4 linked regions of the Schizosaccharomyces pombe genome follow. The gene in region 4 interacts genetically with the main gene of each other region. Each region holds a gene or a part of one and is shown on either strand. Other genes may lie near its edges.

What was found.
Region 1: mutations in ppk9 (region 4) and set13 together harm fitness less than expected from each alone (positive genetic interaction), as found in Schizosaccharomyces pombe (one large-scale study listed by BioGRID).
Region 2: mutations in ppk9 (region 4) and hat1 together harm fitness more than expected from each alone (negative genetic interaction), as found in Schizosaccharomyces pombe (one large-scale study listed by BioGRID).
Region 3: mutations in ppk9 (region 4) and aps1 together harm fitness more than expected from each alone (negative genetic interaction), as found in Schizosaccharomyces pombe (one large-scale study listed by BioGRID).

The regions. Positions count from the first base shown.
Region 1 is NC_003424.3:3,139,430-3,143,743, forward strand, and holds set13 (ribosome L32 lysine methyltransferase Set13), read left to right. Parts: upstream 1-1,994; 5' UTR 1,995-2,033; coding exon 2,034-2,174; exon of another isoform or gene 2,175-2,222; coding exon 2,223-2,900; exon of another isoform or gene 2,901-2,966; coding exon 2,967-3,238; exon of another isoform or gene 3,239-3,289; coding exon 3,290-3,605; 3' UTR 3,606-3,754; downstream 3,755-4,314. Other genes in the region: scn3 (TatD DNase family Scn1), read left to right, coding at 295-1,302. UniProt on the Schizosaccharomyces pombe protein: S-adenosyl-L-methionine-dependent protein-lysine N-methyltransferase that monomethylates 60S ribosomal protein L42 (rpl42) at 'Lys-55'.
Region 2 is NC_003424.3:1,028,178-1,032,461, forward strand, and holds hat1 (histone acetyltransferase Hat1), read left to right. Parts: upstream 1-2,042; 5' UTR 2,043-2,052; coding exon 2,053-2,110; exon of another isoform or gene 2,111-2,160; coding exon 2,161-2,264; exon of another isoform or gene 2,265-2,325; coding exon 2,326-2,544; intron 2,545-2,633; coding exon 2,634-2,749; intron 2,750-2,820; coding exon 2,821-3,184; intron 3,185-3,240; coding exon 3,241-3,516; 3' UTR 3,517-3,764; downstream 3,765-4,284. Other genes in the region: ssd2 (succinate-semialdehyde dehydrogenase), read left to right, coding at 139-1,620; coronin Crn1, read left to right, coding at 4,005-4,038, 4,081-4,133, 4,182-4,284. UniProt on the Schizosaccharomyces pombe protein: Catalytic component of the histone acetylase B (HAT-B) complex. Acetylates 'Lys-12' of histone H4 which is required for telomeric silencing. Has intrinsic substrate specificity that modifies lysine in recognition sequence GXGKXG.
Region 3 is NC_003424.3:198,126-202,036, forward strand, and holds aps1 (diadenosine 5',5'''-p1,p6-hexaphosphate hydrolase Aps1), read left to right. Parts: upstream 1-1,912; 5' UTR 1,913-2,109; coding exon 2,110-2,742; 3' UTR 2,743-3,392; downstream 3,393-3,911. Other genes in the region: chs1 (chitin synthase I), read right to left, coding at 1-590; SPOM_SPAC13G6.13 (uncharacterized protein), read left to right, coding at 759-1,106.
Region 4 is NC_003424.3:1,604,528-1,609,163, forward strand, and holds ppk9 (serine/threonine protein kinase Ppk9), read right to left. Parts: upstream 2,623-4,636; 5' UTR 2,563-2,622; coding exon 2,448-2,562; intron 2,277-2,447; coding exon 793-2,276; 3' UTR 546-792; downstream 1-545. Other genes in the region: COPII-coated vesicle-associated protein Erv25, read left to right, coding at 3-331; sterol transfer protein Osh3, read left to right, coding at 3,635-4,636.

The sequences.
Region 1 (4,314 bases), 1.5 Mb from region 4:
ACACTAATAAATAAATTTGAAAATATTATTGGTAAGGTGGTCACATGGAGGAACTAGTCAACGAAATAGGTATCTGCCCTTGAGCTTGCAGTAGACTAATTAAATTGAAGACGACTGTAATATTCAAGTTTTATCTTTATGTCATCAAGTAATTACCAAACAATGGGGAAACGAATGAAGTTGTTGAATTTCATTAGCATACACATGTTTTCGTCAACTCCAACGTTACTCTCCCTATCCCAACTATTTAAAGTACGGTGGGCAGAGAGCATTCTGTTAACTACAAATATCATTATGGAATCTATCATTGACGCTCATTGCCATCCAACTGATGCACCGCAAGAATTACATTTGGTTGCTAATCTTTCTGTTGGTAAATTAATAGTAATGGGAACCCGGCCGACAGATCAAAAGTATGTCGAACAACTTGCGAAAGAATACCCTGGTAAAGTAATACCTAGTTTTGGGATACATCCATGGTTTTCTTATTATTTGTACGATGATTTGGATAAAGATTTGCAAAGTAGTGAAACGAGAAAAAAGAAGCATTACGAAAAAATATTGACTCCAATACCTGATGAAGATTTTATCAATGCTCTTCCCAACCCAGTCCCGATTTCAGAATTTTTGGAGGACGCTCGTCGACATCTTAAACAGTACCCAAACGCTCTCATTGGCGAAATCGGCTTGGATAAGCCATTTCGATTGCCAGTTGGCCCATATGATGCAAGGTCCTCACTTCCTCAAGGACCTCTATCACCATTTTACGTAAAAATGGAACATCAATGTAAAGTGTTTGAAGCACAAGTGCGTCTTGCTGCAGAATTCCAACGTGCTGTTAGTGTTCACTGCGTTCAGACGTATGCTCTTTTGTATAGCAGTTTAGCTAAATTTTGGGATGGTCGCTGGATTCCTTCCAAAACGAAAATACGAAAGATGAAGAAAGAAGAGTACGAAAATTCTCTTGCTGAAGAACGAAAGCATTACCCTCCCAAAATTTGCCTTCATAGCTACTCTGGTAGCATTGAGCAAATTTCTCAGTTTTCAGCCCATAAAGTTCCGACCGAGTTTTACTACTCTTTTTCAATAGGTATAAATAGTCGTTATAAAAATTTTATTCAAACACTTAAAGGCGTTCCCGACGATAAGCTATTGGCAGAGAGTGATCATCACAGTGCTAGCCAAATCGATGAATTAGTTCGACAATCTTTGAACGTTATGTCAGAAGCTAAGTCCTGGACTTTTGAGGATACTATTACAAAAATTTCAAGTAACTCTAAAGCATTTTTGAAAGTAACTTGAACGCATGCACTACGGTTTATTGACAAATTAGAGTTACCTGCACAATCACCTTAAATAAGTGCATAAGAGATTACTGGCTATTCCCATTGGAATTGGTAACCTTTAGGTTCGTTTTTTATCTGTTTCGTTTACTAAATCCCGAAACTTGACTGAACTAGTGTGGAAATGCTTGCGTTTGCATACAACTTTATTTATAATGTCCTTTTTCATGAACTTTTTTCTTATATTGTCCACCTAATGTCTCTATCTTAAAAATTTCTAACACTTTGCTGAACATGTTTAGCAAAATTCTTTTGTTTATTTATTACTTAGGATAAAATATTTTTTAAAAAAATTTTTGTGATTCCCGTTACTAAAGTATTCTACTAAAACCATCTTGAATTTCCACTTTTTATGAAAGGAATATGCACGTACAGCAAATTCTTAGACTTTTTTGCTCTTTTAGTGATCGTAAGCCAAGCATTAACTGATGTATCTTAGCCATTCAAATTCGTAATACTAAGCTACTTTTTTTTCCAATTCTTGGTATGCCTATTTCACAAATTGAAATTTATACATCAGTTACACTTATAAATCTTTTAACATTGATTAAGAACCCAATTGAATACTACTATCTGAATTAACGACAACTCGGTCATTTCAGGCTATTCAAAAAGGAGGTTAGGGGCAGACCTAAGGAATTTGTTTCTTCTGTGTACAAAAGTGTTAGTGACCAACATAGAGGGGCAGTGATGTTGAAGCAAGCGGAATCTATGTTAAAATGGGCAATCGAAAAGGATAATTATACTACTTCTGAAAAAATTGGACTCAACGATTACCGTCACGTACATGAGTCACTGGGGATTGGATTCATCGCCTTAGAGGACATTAAGGTAAGCAATCCAAAACTGACAGTATATGAAATCTAACAATACTTGAAGGAAGATGAAAAATTAGTCAGTTTCAAGAAGGATAGTGTTTTGTGCTTGACAAATTCGGACTTGGCACAACTTCCCGAAGTTCAAAGTTTACCCAGTTGGGCTGCCCTTTTGTTAGTAATGGCAACTGAAAATGCAAGTCCTAACTCGTTTTGGAGACCTTACTTGTCGATCTTCCCAACCAAAGAAAGAATTACTTCACCCTTTTACTGGGATGAAAACAAAAAAGATGCCCTTCTGAGAGGTACCGTATTAGAATCCAATGAGGATTGTAATGAAATTACACAATTATGGATCGACAGAATTGAACCCATAATTAAGTTATACCCAAATCGGTTTTCACAAGTGAGCTATGAGGACTTCTTGCGAATGAGTGCTGTAATGCTTGCATATAGCTTCGACATTGAAAAAACGAAATCGCCAATTTCGAATGAAAATGAAAAGTCTGCTGCTGAAACTTCGATAAAGGAGGACAAAAATGGAGATGCTGCTAAGAAGAATGAAGGTTCGGCTAATCAAGATGACGAAAAATTGCATTCACAAAGTCTTGTGGGTAACAACTGTGAAGTAAATTCAGAAGACGAATTTTCTGATCTCGAATCTGAGGTCGACCCTGATGAACTTGAAAAGGCAATGTGTCCTATATCTGATATGTTTAATGGTGACGATGAACTTTGTAACGTAAGAACTTTCGAACCTCAATGAGTTATTAATTGAAGCCAAAGATGTATACTAACTATGCTTTAGATTCGTCTCTACGATATCAATGGAACACTTACGATGATTGCTACTCGGGATATCAAAAAAGGAGAGCAATTGTGGAATACTTATGGGGAATTAGATAATTCAGAGTTATTTAGGAAATATGGATTTACTAAGAAGAAAGGTACTCCACATGACTTTGTTTTGATTAAAAAAGAGCACTGGCTTCCTGAGTACATTGAAAAGCTTGGATTTGAAGAAGTAGAAGCACGTCTTGAATTATTATGTCGTGAAGAGTTACTTTACAATTTGGAGGGGTAAGTTATGATCAATTCAATGATGAGCTTTTTATACCTAACGTTTTCTAGTGATTTTACATTTTCAAAAGCGGATTTGACGTTCAAAGAAATTTGTTTGGCCTTTGTGTTGATGGAAAAAGAAAAGGAATTAATATCTGTTCCTTCGAAATCAGACATAAAACCAAAGCATTATAGAAAACTACTCAAGATTATTGAAAAGCGGATAAATATGTATCCGAAGATTTCAGATCCAAAGAATTTTGATGAGGAAAATGCAAAGACATTAATTGAAGGGGAAATTGATATACTTCAAAATCTCTCTGCGAAAGTCAAAGAAGCCCTGACAAAAAATCGACCCAAGAAAAAGCAAAAGGTTGATCACTGAAAAGGAAAGCTGTGATATTGATAATTTTTTTTGCTACGAATTAAGTTCTTTATTACGGAAAAATAAATAAGATTATAGAGGTAAAATTATGGATGTATAGAATTTTGGGGACTTGCTACTCATAAATAATAAAAATTTTTGACTTGTGTATTGTTGTAGGCAATTAAAATAAGGCAGTACGTTTTATTAATTAATTTTTAAAATATAAACTATTGACTAAAAAAAATATGTTTTAAGTATTTGAGCATTAAAAAAAAATCCAAAAAATTAATCGCCAAGGTATATATCACTTACTTTATATTAGACAACATATTTAGAGAATGAAAATTAAGGCATACTAATTTTTTTTTATACTTTTTTTTTTATTTCCTAGTAATATTATTGTTTTTTTGGTTTAGTATTTCGTTATGTGAATAGTAAACTTGACTATTCAGTAATACTATAAAAATAACAAATACTGATATTGTAAAATCTCACATTCTATTTATTATTAGTAACCCAACAGATTTGCACACATATGAAAAAGTAATTATTCAAAACACTAATTTACCAAGTTGAATCAACTTCTAATGTTTTGAAACGGATTTGCTTGAGGAATATGTGAGATTGTCAATGAATGTAAGTGTCAAATTACTCAATTGTCTATTTGGTTAAGTTAGTACTGCTATGTTTTTACGGGTTTTATTAAAAGCATATTAAACGCCGAATA
Region 2 (4,284 bases), 580 kb from region 4:
TTCCACGAAAGATCTGTTGCTGCTTACGCTATTATTTGTTATTATTATAAATAATAATAACATTTCTATCGATAACTTCGTTTCATATAGTTTTTAACATTTACTCCTTCCCACTTTTTTGTATAATACTCTTCAAAAATGGCCCCTCAATTCAAACGCCCTGAGCTCTTTGGCTTTGATAAGTCTCATGCTCAATCTTTTGTTCAAGGAAAATGGATTTCTTCTCCTAACAACAAAACTTTTGAGGTTGATAACCCAGCTACTGGTGAAATAATCGGTAAAGTGGCCGATGTCTCAGTAGAGGAAACAAAAAAAGCCATCAGTGCCGCTAACGAGGCCTTCAAAACTTATAAAAATTTTACTCATGTCCAACGTAGTCAGTTATTGGAACGCTGGGCAGAGCTTATTATGGAGAACAAAGACGACTTGGTCAAGATGCTTACCTTAGAAAACGGCAAGCCTTTGAGCCAAGCTGAGATGGAGGTCACCACATGTAGCGGATATCTTAAATGGTATGCTGCTGAAGCCGTTCGTACCTTTGGCGATGTAGCTCCTTCCAGCTTACAAAGTCAAAACTTTCTCATCTCCATCAAACAGCCAGTTGGTGTCAGTGCCTTGATTACTCCTTGGAACTTCCCCGCCGCCATGATTGCTCGTAAAGGTGGTGCCGCTTTGGCTGCTGGTTGTACCGCTATTTTCTTGCCTGCTTTCCGCACTCCCTACGTTTGCTTAGGTTTAGTCAGGTTGGCGCAAGAGGCCGGTTTCCCTGACGGTGTCTTAAATGTGATCACTTCTTCTGATGCATCTGCTCATGGTAAAGAACTGACTACCAACCCTATCGTTCGTAAGGTTTCCTTCACTGGTAGTACTAATGTCGGTAAAATTCTTATGGGACAAAGTGCCAGCACAATCAAGAAGGTTTCAATGGAGTTAGGAGGTAATGCCCCTTTCATTGTATTCCCTGACTTCCCCATTGATCAGGCTGTCGAATCTTTCTGCACTATCAAGTTTAACTCTTGTGGTCAAGTTTGTGTCTGCCCTAACAGAGTTTACGTTCACAAGAATGTTTACGACGAATTCGTCAGCAAGCTTACCGAAAAAGTCAAGACCATTAAAGTAGGAGATGGATTTGACTCTTCTTCTGCTGTTGGCCCTTTGATTTCTCAAGATGGATGCAAAAAGGTCAGCAAGCACATTGAAGATGCTGTTTCAAAGGGTGCCAAAATCACTGTTGGTGGAAAGGAGATTTCCTCAAGCAAAGGTTATTTTTTTGAACCAACCGTGCTCTCCGGTGTAACTCAAGACATGTTGGTTGCTAGCGAGGAAACATTCGGCCCACTCGCCTCTGTCTTCAAGTTCGACGACACCGAAGAGGTGATCGAATGGGCTAACGACAGTGATGTTGGCTTGGCCGGTTACGTCTTTACCAATAACTTGTCCACAATGATCCACGTTGCCAAAGAACTAGAGGTGGGTCTTGTAGGTGCCAATATCGAAATGGTTGACGAACCATTTATTTCCTTTGGCGGCATCAAACAGAGCGGTTTTGGCAAGGAAGCCGGTCGTTTGGGCGTTCAAGAATTTATGGTGGTTAAGGAAATCAATCTCAAGACTCTTTAAGGATTTTCGCTTTAGAAAGCTGCATATTATTGAACAAGCAATGATGTCCTCTTTTGGTTAATGACTAAAAAATCCTGATGTTATGACTGTTTTACATGTTTGCGATACAAATCGTATTTTAGTTTAATGATATCAAAAAAATTTAATACCTGAACATCGTGGGTCATCGATGAAGAATGGATTGTTGTGTCAGAAAATCTATACTTGTAGTTATTGTTCTGAGCAATCTGAAAAGTTATAAAGAATTGTAGGTTCTAAAATTGGCAATACTGGAGCTAGAAATCTATATAATAGTAAATATTTTTTAATAATAACAGGTGTAGCACGTGAAATTTTGCGTCGCCTTGTAGTTTGTTACTTCCAACTAGACACATGTATTTTTTGTTGTTTGACTTGAAATAGGGTCAGGTATTCAATTTTCCGTATGCAGTGATGAGTGCTGTTGATGAATGGGTACATAATGCCAATGAATGCATAGAAATTGTACAAGGTATGCTATGTTAAATTATAATGTTTTTACCTTGTGTTAACACCTGTCAGTAAACGAAAAGCATGAAAAAGATTGTCAATACCATCCTAGCAATACATATGCAATATTTGGAGATGCTGAGGTTATTTATGGATATAAAGATCTAAATGTCACTGTAAGATTAAATCAGCAAGTTTTAGTCATGAAATTTGATTGCAAATAGTAACAGTTATTAGATAACCTATGAATGCCCATTGATGGTCCCAAAACTGGAAATCTCATATTCAGAGCGCCTAGCACCAGATTCAGGAGTGGAACCAACTGATATTGAAGGAACATTAAACACTTATCTAAAAGATCGTTCCATTAAGGTTGAAGGAAACTCATTTGACGTTCATTCGGCAAATAGTATTCATAACTATTCCTTTAATGGAAAAACATTCAAGATTTTACAAGTATGTTCGATTACCTTTCAATTGGAGAAGTATTCAATTATTGAATATCCCTATATGTTCTTTGGCTAATAATCGTAATGTATTAATAGGCAACGGTTCTTGAAGCTAGTGAGATTATGCAGCATTTGCAAATATTTTCCTTATTTTTTATTGAAGGGGGCTCTTTTATTGACCTTAATGATCCAAGATGGATGGTATATTTACTGTAAGTTTGTTATTTTCTACGCGTCTACTTTCCTTTTACCTTTTTATCGAGGTTTTATTAACAAAAATAAGTTACGAGACTACTGAAGATGATTATTGCTTACGTGGTTATTGTACTGTATACAAATATTATAAATGGGACAAATTAATTCACGATGGTATTCGAGCTCGTATCTCACAATTCGTGATTTTACCCCCTTTTCAACATCAAGGACACGGTTCGCAATTGTACAATGCTATTGTTAGTACCTTTTTGAAAAATCCTAAAATTTTAGACTTCACAGTTGAGGATGCATCGGAAGCGTTTGATAGCCTTAGAGACCATTGCGACTATAAAAGATTATTATCAATGGGAATATTTTCAGAACCTGACTTTCATCCCTCTCTTTCTAGGCAGTGGATAAACTCGAAAATAGCTGAAACAAAGTTAACCCAGGTTCGTAATTTGCTAAATTTACCATGCAATGCAACTTACTAATTGTCTTTTTTTAGCGTCAATTCTCACGCTGTTGTGAATTAGCATTTACAACGAAACTAAAAAAGCTTTCATTATTGGAGCGGAAATCTGTTAGACTAGGAATAAAGGAAAGGATTTTTCGTCAAAATCTTGATGTGTTGCTACAGTTGGATAAGTCCGAACGTATTGAAAAAATTCATAACGCCTATGAAAATCAGTTTGATGAGTATAAACAGATTGTCAAAAAGCTACCCAAGCTTAAGGAAGATTCGCCTCGAAAACGCCAAAAACTTGCTCAATCTTCTTCCTAAATGAAAACACTTTTAGAGATCTGAAATACTTTGAGAATATTGAAGGCATATTAGCATAAAAAGTTATGAGAATCGACTAAATTACACTATTGGACGCAATTACTTTTTATATAATTTGCTTTTGAAAGCTTTCGCTTGAAATGATTAAAGACATTTGAAACAGTGATCATTTTAATAATATAAATTTTGTATATATTTTGCAAATTTAGTGTGATATCTAGTTTAATAAAATCTATAAAGGCACCTTATAAAAATTCAAACAATTCCTCATAATGAACTGCTTTTTCCAAAATTTAAATATTTTAATATCTACTATCAATAATATTGGTTATTTTCAACGACCAGTACAACTTTAGGTGCTTGTCATTCTCATCCGTCCTCCTTCCTATTCCGATCCCGACTTTGTTCATTACCTGACACCCCGGATAAAGTTAGCTCAATTAGCAAATTCTCATTCGATCTTATAAAGGAATTATTCTTTTTCAAAAATGAGTGGAAGATTTGTGAGAGCTAGTAAATATAGTACGCATGCTTTTTGAGTAAATAATTATTAACTGACGTTAGGACATATCTTTGGACAAACCTGCAAAAAAGAACTTTGCTACGACAACATAAAGGTTGGTCGATACTTTAATGGTTTGAAATTTACTAATTGTCTTCAATAGCTTAGCAATAATGCATGGGATTCTAACCTATTGAGTGTGAACCCCTTTTACCTCAGTGTTAATTGGAATGCGGGAGCTGGAGGTGCATTGGCAGTTATCCCTT
Region 3 (3,911 bases), 1.4 Mb from region 4:
TACATAGTTATAGCAATACAAATTTCAGTTTTTCTCGGCTGAAAGAATAGGGGCTGCCTTAAAGTGAATAGGCTTTTCGAAAAGTCTTGTGGATCACATGTAGCAGCACTGTAGCGCATGTAAGCAAATTCTCGCTCTGTTTGCTGTGGAAGTGTAACCAATAACTTCTTAGGAATTGGACAATCGAGGATGAGATTGCCATGAAATAATTTAACTCGTTTAATACTTTTATTTCTTTGAATTTTTTCATTTGTTCTTTGGAAATTTGCCTCTCGGTTCATAGTATTTCCTTGCTTATTGAAGTTTGAAAAATTTGGTTGAGCAGTAAAACCTTCAAATGGAGATTGAATACTTTCCGTTTCATCTTTTAAATAATAATCGAGATCAAATTCTTTATCAGGAATAATGATTTTCGGTTTTAGAGGTTTTTTATTTTTATCAAATAAAATGGACGAAGTATCACTGTTTAATGACAAATTGGTGATTGTAGGATATAAGTGATTGGTTTCAACAATATCTTTATTTGTTAATCCAGCTGATTCCTCCTCATCAGGAGGGCGTGGTAGCGTTTTTTTGAACCACCTTCTCATCTTCAAGAGCCGTAGAAACGAGCCTCAAATCGCTCTATCAAATATACGCTTAGATTTTTTCTGTAAAGCAGCATCCAAGTTTATGATAGTGAGAATCAATTTTGGGGAGACAATTACAGTTGTAATGATTGAAACAATGGTTTGTTTAACCCTGAATGCTTGTCAACAATGTTTCAATTGCCAATGATTGTAGAAGCCAACGATATGAAAATAAAATATTATAAAAGAAGGAATTGTTATACTCTTTTAATATTTAAATACAAAGAGAGTAAGAAGATTAATGTTTACAAAAGAAAAAAAAGTGATGAGGTGGTGGAAGATTGCAACAAACTAAAGTGTACTTTTTTTATGATTGAAGAATGGCATTTACTCGCTATATTGTATGACAAATCTAAATACATAAAAATAATTATTTGTTCCGTATTGTTAAAACTAAATACAACTGTAATTATAAGAAGGAATACACATACCAAAGTTTATGTTATGAACAAATTTTATCAAAAGCTTAAAAAGTAAATCATATCTCATTATTTATTCATATAAAAAAAATTAAAAAATAACAATTTATACAATGGCTTGCTAAGGTATATAACAAAGCAAACGAAAAGCCAATTTTCTTCCAACATTACTCATTTTATTTAGATATATTATTATTTTAAACGATTTTCTTTTTATTCCAAACGTAATAGAAGTAGTTGAATTGTATAAATTATTGTTTTTTATATAATAAACATTTTTTTTCGCTATAATAATTGTTTTAAATAAAACAGATATTGGGAATTTAAATTATCCAATCTTTTTTTTGTTAAATTATTTTATTTTATTTTCCTCGACATTAAAATGCATCAACAATTGGTTAGTGTTAATTGATTCTCTTACTATCAATATTATCAGATTCAAAAAGCCCAACTTATCAAGAGTTAGTGAAGGAATCAGCAATGATCAGATAGAACAACAGAACAGTAAATACAATGCAAAACTTCGAAAACCGTGTATTAAAAGATTAAGACTTACAGATTTTCTACAAGCGTACTCCTTTTAAAAAGCCTCATTTTGTCCAAAGAATTGATAATGTGGGTATTTTTCGATGCGAAATCTACGAATACAAACAACTTCGCAAATTGGAGATTACTGCATACAAAATGAAAATGTATTTTCCTCGCAAGCTATTTATTTTGAAAAATTATAAATTACCTATTTTCTAATACAATCTCTCATTTTAAATATCACCGCAAATTATTTGGTCTCCGACAACTGTTTAGCGTGTCGGTTTGTACTTCACTATTTCGTTATCCCAACCTAAATCACTGGGAGAAACCTTCGGAAAACCACTTTTCGCGATCGATTTATATTCATCGGAATAGGAGATTTATATCTCTTCCTTGTTCAAAAAGAACTCAGATTCTTTTGAACATCTTGCTTTTGCCTTTTCAGACATCGTTTCCTTACTCTACCATAAGGCAAGAAATTATACCAAATCCATTCAACTTGTCGAAAAGAAGAGTACTTTATAGTTCATATGCTTGAAAATAACGGAAGTGTGATTTTAATGGAGCCGGATCATCTACGGACGGCAGTGAACCGCTCAATGACTTCTCGTGAAGGTCGAACGAAAAATCGATTCAATCCTATTACAGGAGCCAGACTTGCTGCGGGTGTTGTTGCTTTATCTGCAGACAAAAGGAAAGTCCTATTAGTTTCTTCTGCTAAAAAACATCCTTCTTGGGTAGTTCCTAAGGGTGGATGGGAGGCTGATGAATCTGTTCAGCAAGCTGCCCTTCGTGAAGGTTGGGAAGAAGGCGGACTAGTGGGTCATATCACTAGATCCCTTGGGTCTTTCAAGGATAAGCGTCCTACTGATACTATTGACAGAAGGAAAAAATATTTGAAGCAATTAATGTCAAAAAGTAGCGGAAATGACGTCTCAACCAATACCGAGTTAGGAGCCGAAGCAGAGAAATTATTACTTCCACCTAGAGCCGAATGTGAATTTTTTGAAGTTATTGTTGAAAGATTAGAAGACAATTACCCAGAGATGAGGAAGCGTCGCCGAAAATGGATGTCTTATCAAGAAGCAAAGGAAGCGTTGACAAGTCGTAAAGATATTTTGGCAGCTCTTGAGAAGAGCTCTATCATTAAAGAGGAAAACTGAAGTACAGATGCATAATGTTTACCATTTGCAACCTTTTATTCAAATATTTTAATTTACCATTTTTTTTGATTTCTTGCTTCAATATTTATCTTTTTCCATGGGATTACGAAATTGTTATATCTATTAGTTACCATGTCAAGTGTGTTAAAAAGGCTTGAAGTTTGCAAATCTTGATTCTTATTTTTTTTTTCAGCAAGCTGGGTCAAATTGAGTTTTCGACATAAAGCTCATTTCATGAAACATATATCCTTTAAAGGATTTCAGCGGTACAGCATATATTCCAGCAGTTCAACTGCTATTTTTTCTTTCCTTTTTTAAAAGTTTTTACTCTCTTTGTATATTTTCGATTAAGATCATTGTCTGCATAACATACTAATTCTATTTATAAATATATTTTCAATTGAATCGCATGATAATTCAAATTTTTTAAAACAAAGTTTCATTCCTTAAAAAATCATCTAATCCCACCTGTTTGATGCTAGGGTGCGAGTTAATCGTTATCGTTGTGTGCTATGCATAAAAAGCACATTAGTTGCTAGCATATTAATTGTTTGCAACCAATTTTGATTAGTGACGTTAATAAAAACAAAATTGTTCCATACGGTAAAACGTATTCGTTGTTAGATACTAATGAGCCCAAGAAGTTTCGTGTGTCAATTTGAATATGTCGTGTAATTTTATATTGGCTTTCAGCAATCATATAGCTATGAATTATAGTGAATCCATTGACGCTCATTACACTTACGTGCGATAATTTTAAAAAATACTTTTCAATTAGTAGTAAATAGATAGCGAAACGACGAACTATAGCAAACATCAATCCGTTAGTATAAATATTCGTACAAAATGCTTATATAAGAATTTGAGAATTACTTAATATATTTGATTGACGTTGTTCAACGTGAAAATGTACATAAAAGCAATTTATAACCACACCTAAAAATCCAAACAAACTGCAAAATTAAAAACGTAGGATTTAGCAGTTATGTTAGTAAAGCTTCAGCTATCAGAATAAAAAATTTTTAGAAAAAGAAACAAGAAGAAAATACATATATATATTTTTATTTTCAGAACTTTGACGGTCATAGCCAATTCTTTTAAAAATGAACTAAATAGCACTGTCTCACATTCTAACAATTGTCGTTAATCCTGTTAGATCCCAGCATAAG
Region 4 (4,636 bases):
AGGTGCTATAGAGTCTGAACATAAAAAGCGATCCGTCAAACTTGAGTTTACTGTAGGCGCTGACGCCGATGATTATTCTTCATTGCAAAAAGCAAACAACTTGGAACCTGTAGAAGCTGATATCCGTCGTGCAAGAGACTTCATTGAAGAAATCAAAGGAAAAATTTACTATTTGCAAGCTCGCGAAGCTAGATTCAGAAACACTAATGAAAGTACTAATGAGCGTGTCAAGAATTTTGCATATCTTACTTTTATCTCATTATTTGTTCTTGTTATATGGCAAATCCTCTATTTACGTTCATTTTTCCAAAGGAAGCATCTTATCCCTTAAATTTCACATGAACAATAAATATACGTATACGGCATACTTGGCACTTCCACAATTTCCAAAAATTAATTGGTTGCTTTTATATTCCGTACTAGGAATTACTGTGAGTATGGACAAACATTCACATTTAATGCATATACACTACTTCACTCTTTAACTTCATGAATAAAAATAAAAGATTGTAGTAAATTACATTAGCATAATTCTGTTGTAATATTACAACTGTTTATCTTCATTGTTTGTGAAATAACTAACAAATTCAAAAAACAAAAGGGAAATGTAACAACTGTGAATTCTAATTGAAACTAAATGAGAAAGTCGTAACAAAAATATCAAAATTCAACTTAGTTTCACAATATTAGTAAATGCAAACAATATTGAAAACAAAAGCTTTACAACAAAAAAAATCGTAAAAGAAAAAAAAAGGATAAAAAAGGGAATTAGGTTGAGTTACGCGACTGACCTTATGCAATTTTAAGGATCAATTGTTTGACAACTTCTAAAAATGGCATTGGACTGTAAGATGAAGTGTACTTTATAGAATCATCACTACTAGAAAAGCGGATATCAATCACGCTAGCAGATGGTCCAATAGAGAATAATTCAATAACCAGATAAACAGGAGAATTATGACATGTAATGCATGAAAACACTTTATACTTATTTTCCTTTAGAAAAGATTCCTCATCACAGGGCCGAAACCGAGCTCCTAACTCAAGTAAAGCCTCACATAGCTTTCTCAATACTTCAATTGGATTTTTGGCAGTTTGAATCCCATAATGCCAGCGTAAAGAACGAAGTCGGTTGGGGGCGGGAGGTCGGGATAATGGATGGTTGTAGACCTTATTCATGAATGAAGCATGTCTCTGTGGAAGAGAAGAGCGTAAAGTTTCAACGTTAGAAGGAATTGGTGGAATATCAGTAGGATCTAAAAATCCGGATGATTCTGCCATGTCAGAATGCCACGAAGTAGCCGAATACAAGTCCTCATACGACGAATAACATAAAGATGCGGGATCTGGATTAGGAGATTCAGTACCTGAAATGGACATTGGTTTTGACGGGGATAGGGCTGAGTGATCTGTGGGCTGAGGAATTTGACCTACACTACTGGAAGGCGAAGTTATGGAAGGGTCGAAAAGAATAGCAAGATCTGGAGGAGAAAAGGTGACAGATCGATGCTTGGAAGAAAAGGATGAAGTACGGGAAGGTAAACGGGAATGCGTGGGAAGATCAGCGATAAACCAAGGATGTTGCATTATTTCTGCAACTTTGATTCGTGAAGTAGGAAGCACCATTAACATTTGACGAATGAGATCTGAGGCTGAAGAAGATACAAAACTAGGAATGGTGTAGATTCCTTTACAAACGCGACTTAATACATTGGAGATGGTTACATCCTCAAAGGGAAACTCGCCGACGAGCATCAAATACAATAAGATTCCGCAACCCCATACATCTACATCACAACCATCATAATAACGGCCTTGAATAACCTCAGGAGCAGCATAATGGGGAGTACCGCAAGAGGTACTCAGAAAGGAACCATCAAGCATAAAATTGGAAAGGCCAAAATCCGTGAGCTTGACAACCAGATCTTTATTAAGTAAAATGTTTTCCAACTTCAAATCTCGGTGAGCAACACGATGAAGATGACAATAATCGATGGCATGGACAATTTGTCGAAAAATCTTGCGAGTGGTACATTCATCCAGTCGATTATGCTTAACCACCATACTGTGCAAATCAGTATCCATATACTCTAGTGCGAGCACTGTGTACTTGGGAACCCGAAACACCTGGTATAGGGTGATAATGTTTGGATGGTGCAATTGCCTTAAGATTGTCACTTCTCTTTGTAAACGCTTCCACGTATCTTTATCTTCCAATTCATCATTGTAAACCATTTTCAATGCGACCTTTTCATTTGTTTGAAAATGCTTGCCCACTACACTGTTAGCCATCGTACAATTGCCAAAAACAAAATCAAAGACGATCGATGCGCAAGATAACCATGACACCTAAGTAGTCTATCTCTACTGTCTATAAGTAGTCTACTCTATCTTATTAACAAGCCCCTACAAGACAAAGTCAACTAAATTTCACCTCATGTACTTACATTTCACTTTGGCCAAGTTTCCTTGTCCCAAAGTCCTTCCCAAAAGCCAAGGCCCAACATAGGTGTTTCCTGAATCCTTTTCAGACTCTGCCGATGCAGAAGAAGGGGTTTGCATAGCAAGTCGAGCCAGCTGACTTTATAGGATGAAATTCGTTATTCGTGTATATAGGTGGTTAGCATGTGCATGTTGCTGCATACCGTCCGACTTAAACATGATCCGCGCATCTGATGCTAATTTGTTAGCGATAAAAAAGGTGCACGAGGCAAAGTAGTGTGATTCAAAGCAACCTTGTAATAAGATTATATGGCGTAACGTGCTATCTTTTGGTAAACATCTCCACGGCGACATTGCAGACAACGCTAGCGTTCGATACGAGCAACCAATCTGCACTTTATTTAATTAAGGTACGCGGTCTATGGGTTATCAGATGCATAGGTATGTAAATTTTGTGTTATGAAATGGAAAATCGAGCTGGTATTGTGTTATGGGAAATTATGCCAATTTTCAAAGTTTATGAGTACATGGGAACTCTCTATTTACCCTCTTCCATCATTAGATCCGTCCCAACTTCTAGCCAAAATTTTTTGCACAATAAGCTACAACAATACAGCCGTGATAATGATAAAATTAGTAAAAGCAGTAATAGAAATACTCAAAGACAATTAAATAAAAAATTACAACAGCTAGATTTTTTGACTACAGAAAACATTTGATTTTCGGTTTAATCCCAAAAACCCGCATTATTTCGCACGATGCCATCAATGCTAGTAGACAAACATAAAACCGCATATTACAGACCGTGCGAATGTTTTTGTATAGCTATTTTTTAATGTAAAGTATATTTTGCCATATCTGAAATAGCCCGATCGAGGCATCCCAAGTACACACTACGGAAAGTGATAAGTGCAAAATTTTCTTTGTATCCGTTTACATACTGGCATACCTATTGCCGCTACCAGCCCTTTGTTTACTACTTAAGTATACATTACATTAGGTGGCCGCCAAAAAACCGAACGTTCCGCATCGGTAAAATACCTTGGAGTCATTCGCCCGAAAATCCCGAAACCGAAAATCCATCTCTTACCACATACGTTTAGGCAATTATTTTATTCCTCTCCAGTCATCAATTGAAAAAAATAGGCTTTCTAAGTTTTGCAATTATCACAGTAGAAGTCCATGAGTCAACATGGAAACTGTGGAGATACGAAGTAAGAGTCTGTTGATACAATGGCTCACGGTGGAATCGAATTCCTTACTGAGTTGGCAACTGCATGTGAAACGGAAAAGCATAAAGTTTGATATATATCATAAAAAGAATGACACATCTAGCTTGCTAGATGGATCCAACAAAAACACCGATCGTTCCATCCTGCATACAAAGCGTCAACACACTCACGAAGCTGGTATCAAGAAGTTGAGTGCTGCTGGGTTAGAATTATTTTATCAAGGAGAGCGATGTATGTCGGAAAAGCCTAGTGAGGGCTCTGTCTACATTGAGAATGGAGGACTTTATGCCTTCGTGTTTGATAACACTTTTTCGAAAACAAAACCAAAAACTGTGACCTTCCTCTTGACCGCGCAACCATACAACGGTCCGAGAATACCAAATGCATCAGTCCATGGCTCTCCTAAACAAATTATTTCTGGAACCTTGCTTAAAAAGCGCCGAAAGAAGGGCCAAGGCTATGCTCGACGTTACTTCACTCTCAACATGGTGGAAGGCACGATCTCATACTATGCTAACGAAAATTCTTCGGTAATGCGCGGTAAAATTCCCTTGAGCATTGCTGTGATTAGCGTTGCTGCAGAGACGCATGAGATCAACGTTGATTCAGGCGTAGAACTGTGGAACCTACGAGCACATACTCACCAAGATTGGCTACGTTGGTGCAATGCTTTGGAAAAGGCGAAAAATAGTCAAACTTCTTCAAAGCTCGTAGTAGACGAAAGGACACAAGAATCGTCATCCAATCAGTTAGTCTCTATTTACTCAAGACTACGTGAATGCCTGGATATTGCTCAATTGTATCGCACCAGTCGTATCAAATCGGCTTCAAGTCATAATTTTTCTGTCCCTGAGATCCGTATACAACTTCCCGGTGATGCCAAAGAAAACAAGGAAACCCGTACTTCAGTGGAAATTACTGCTGCTGAAAACGCGCAAGCTGCGGTTACTTTACGCAAGGTT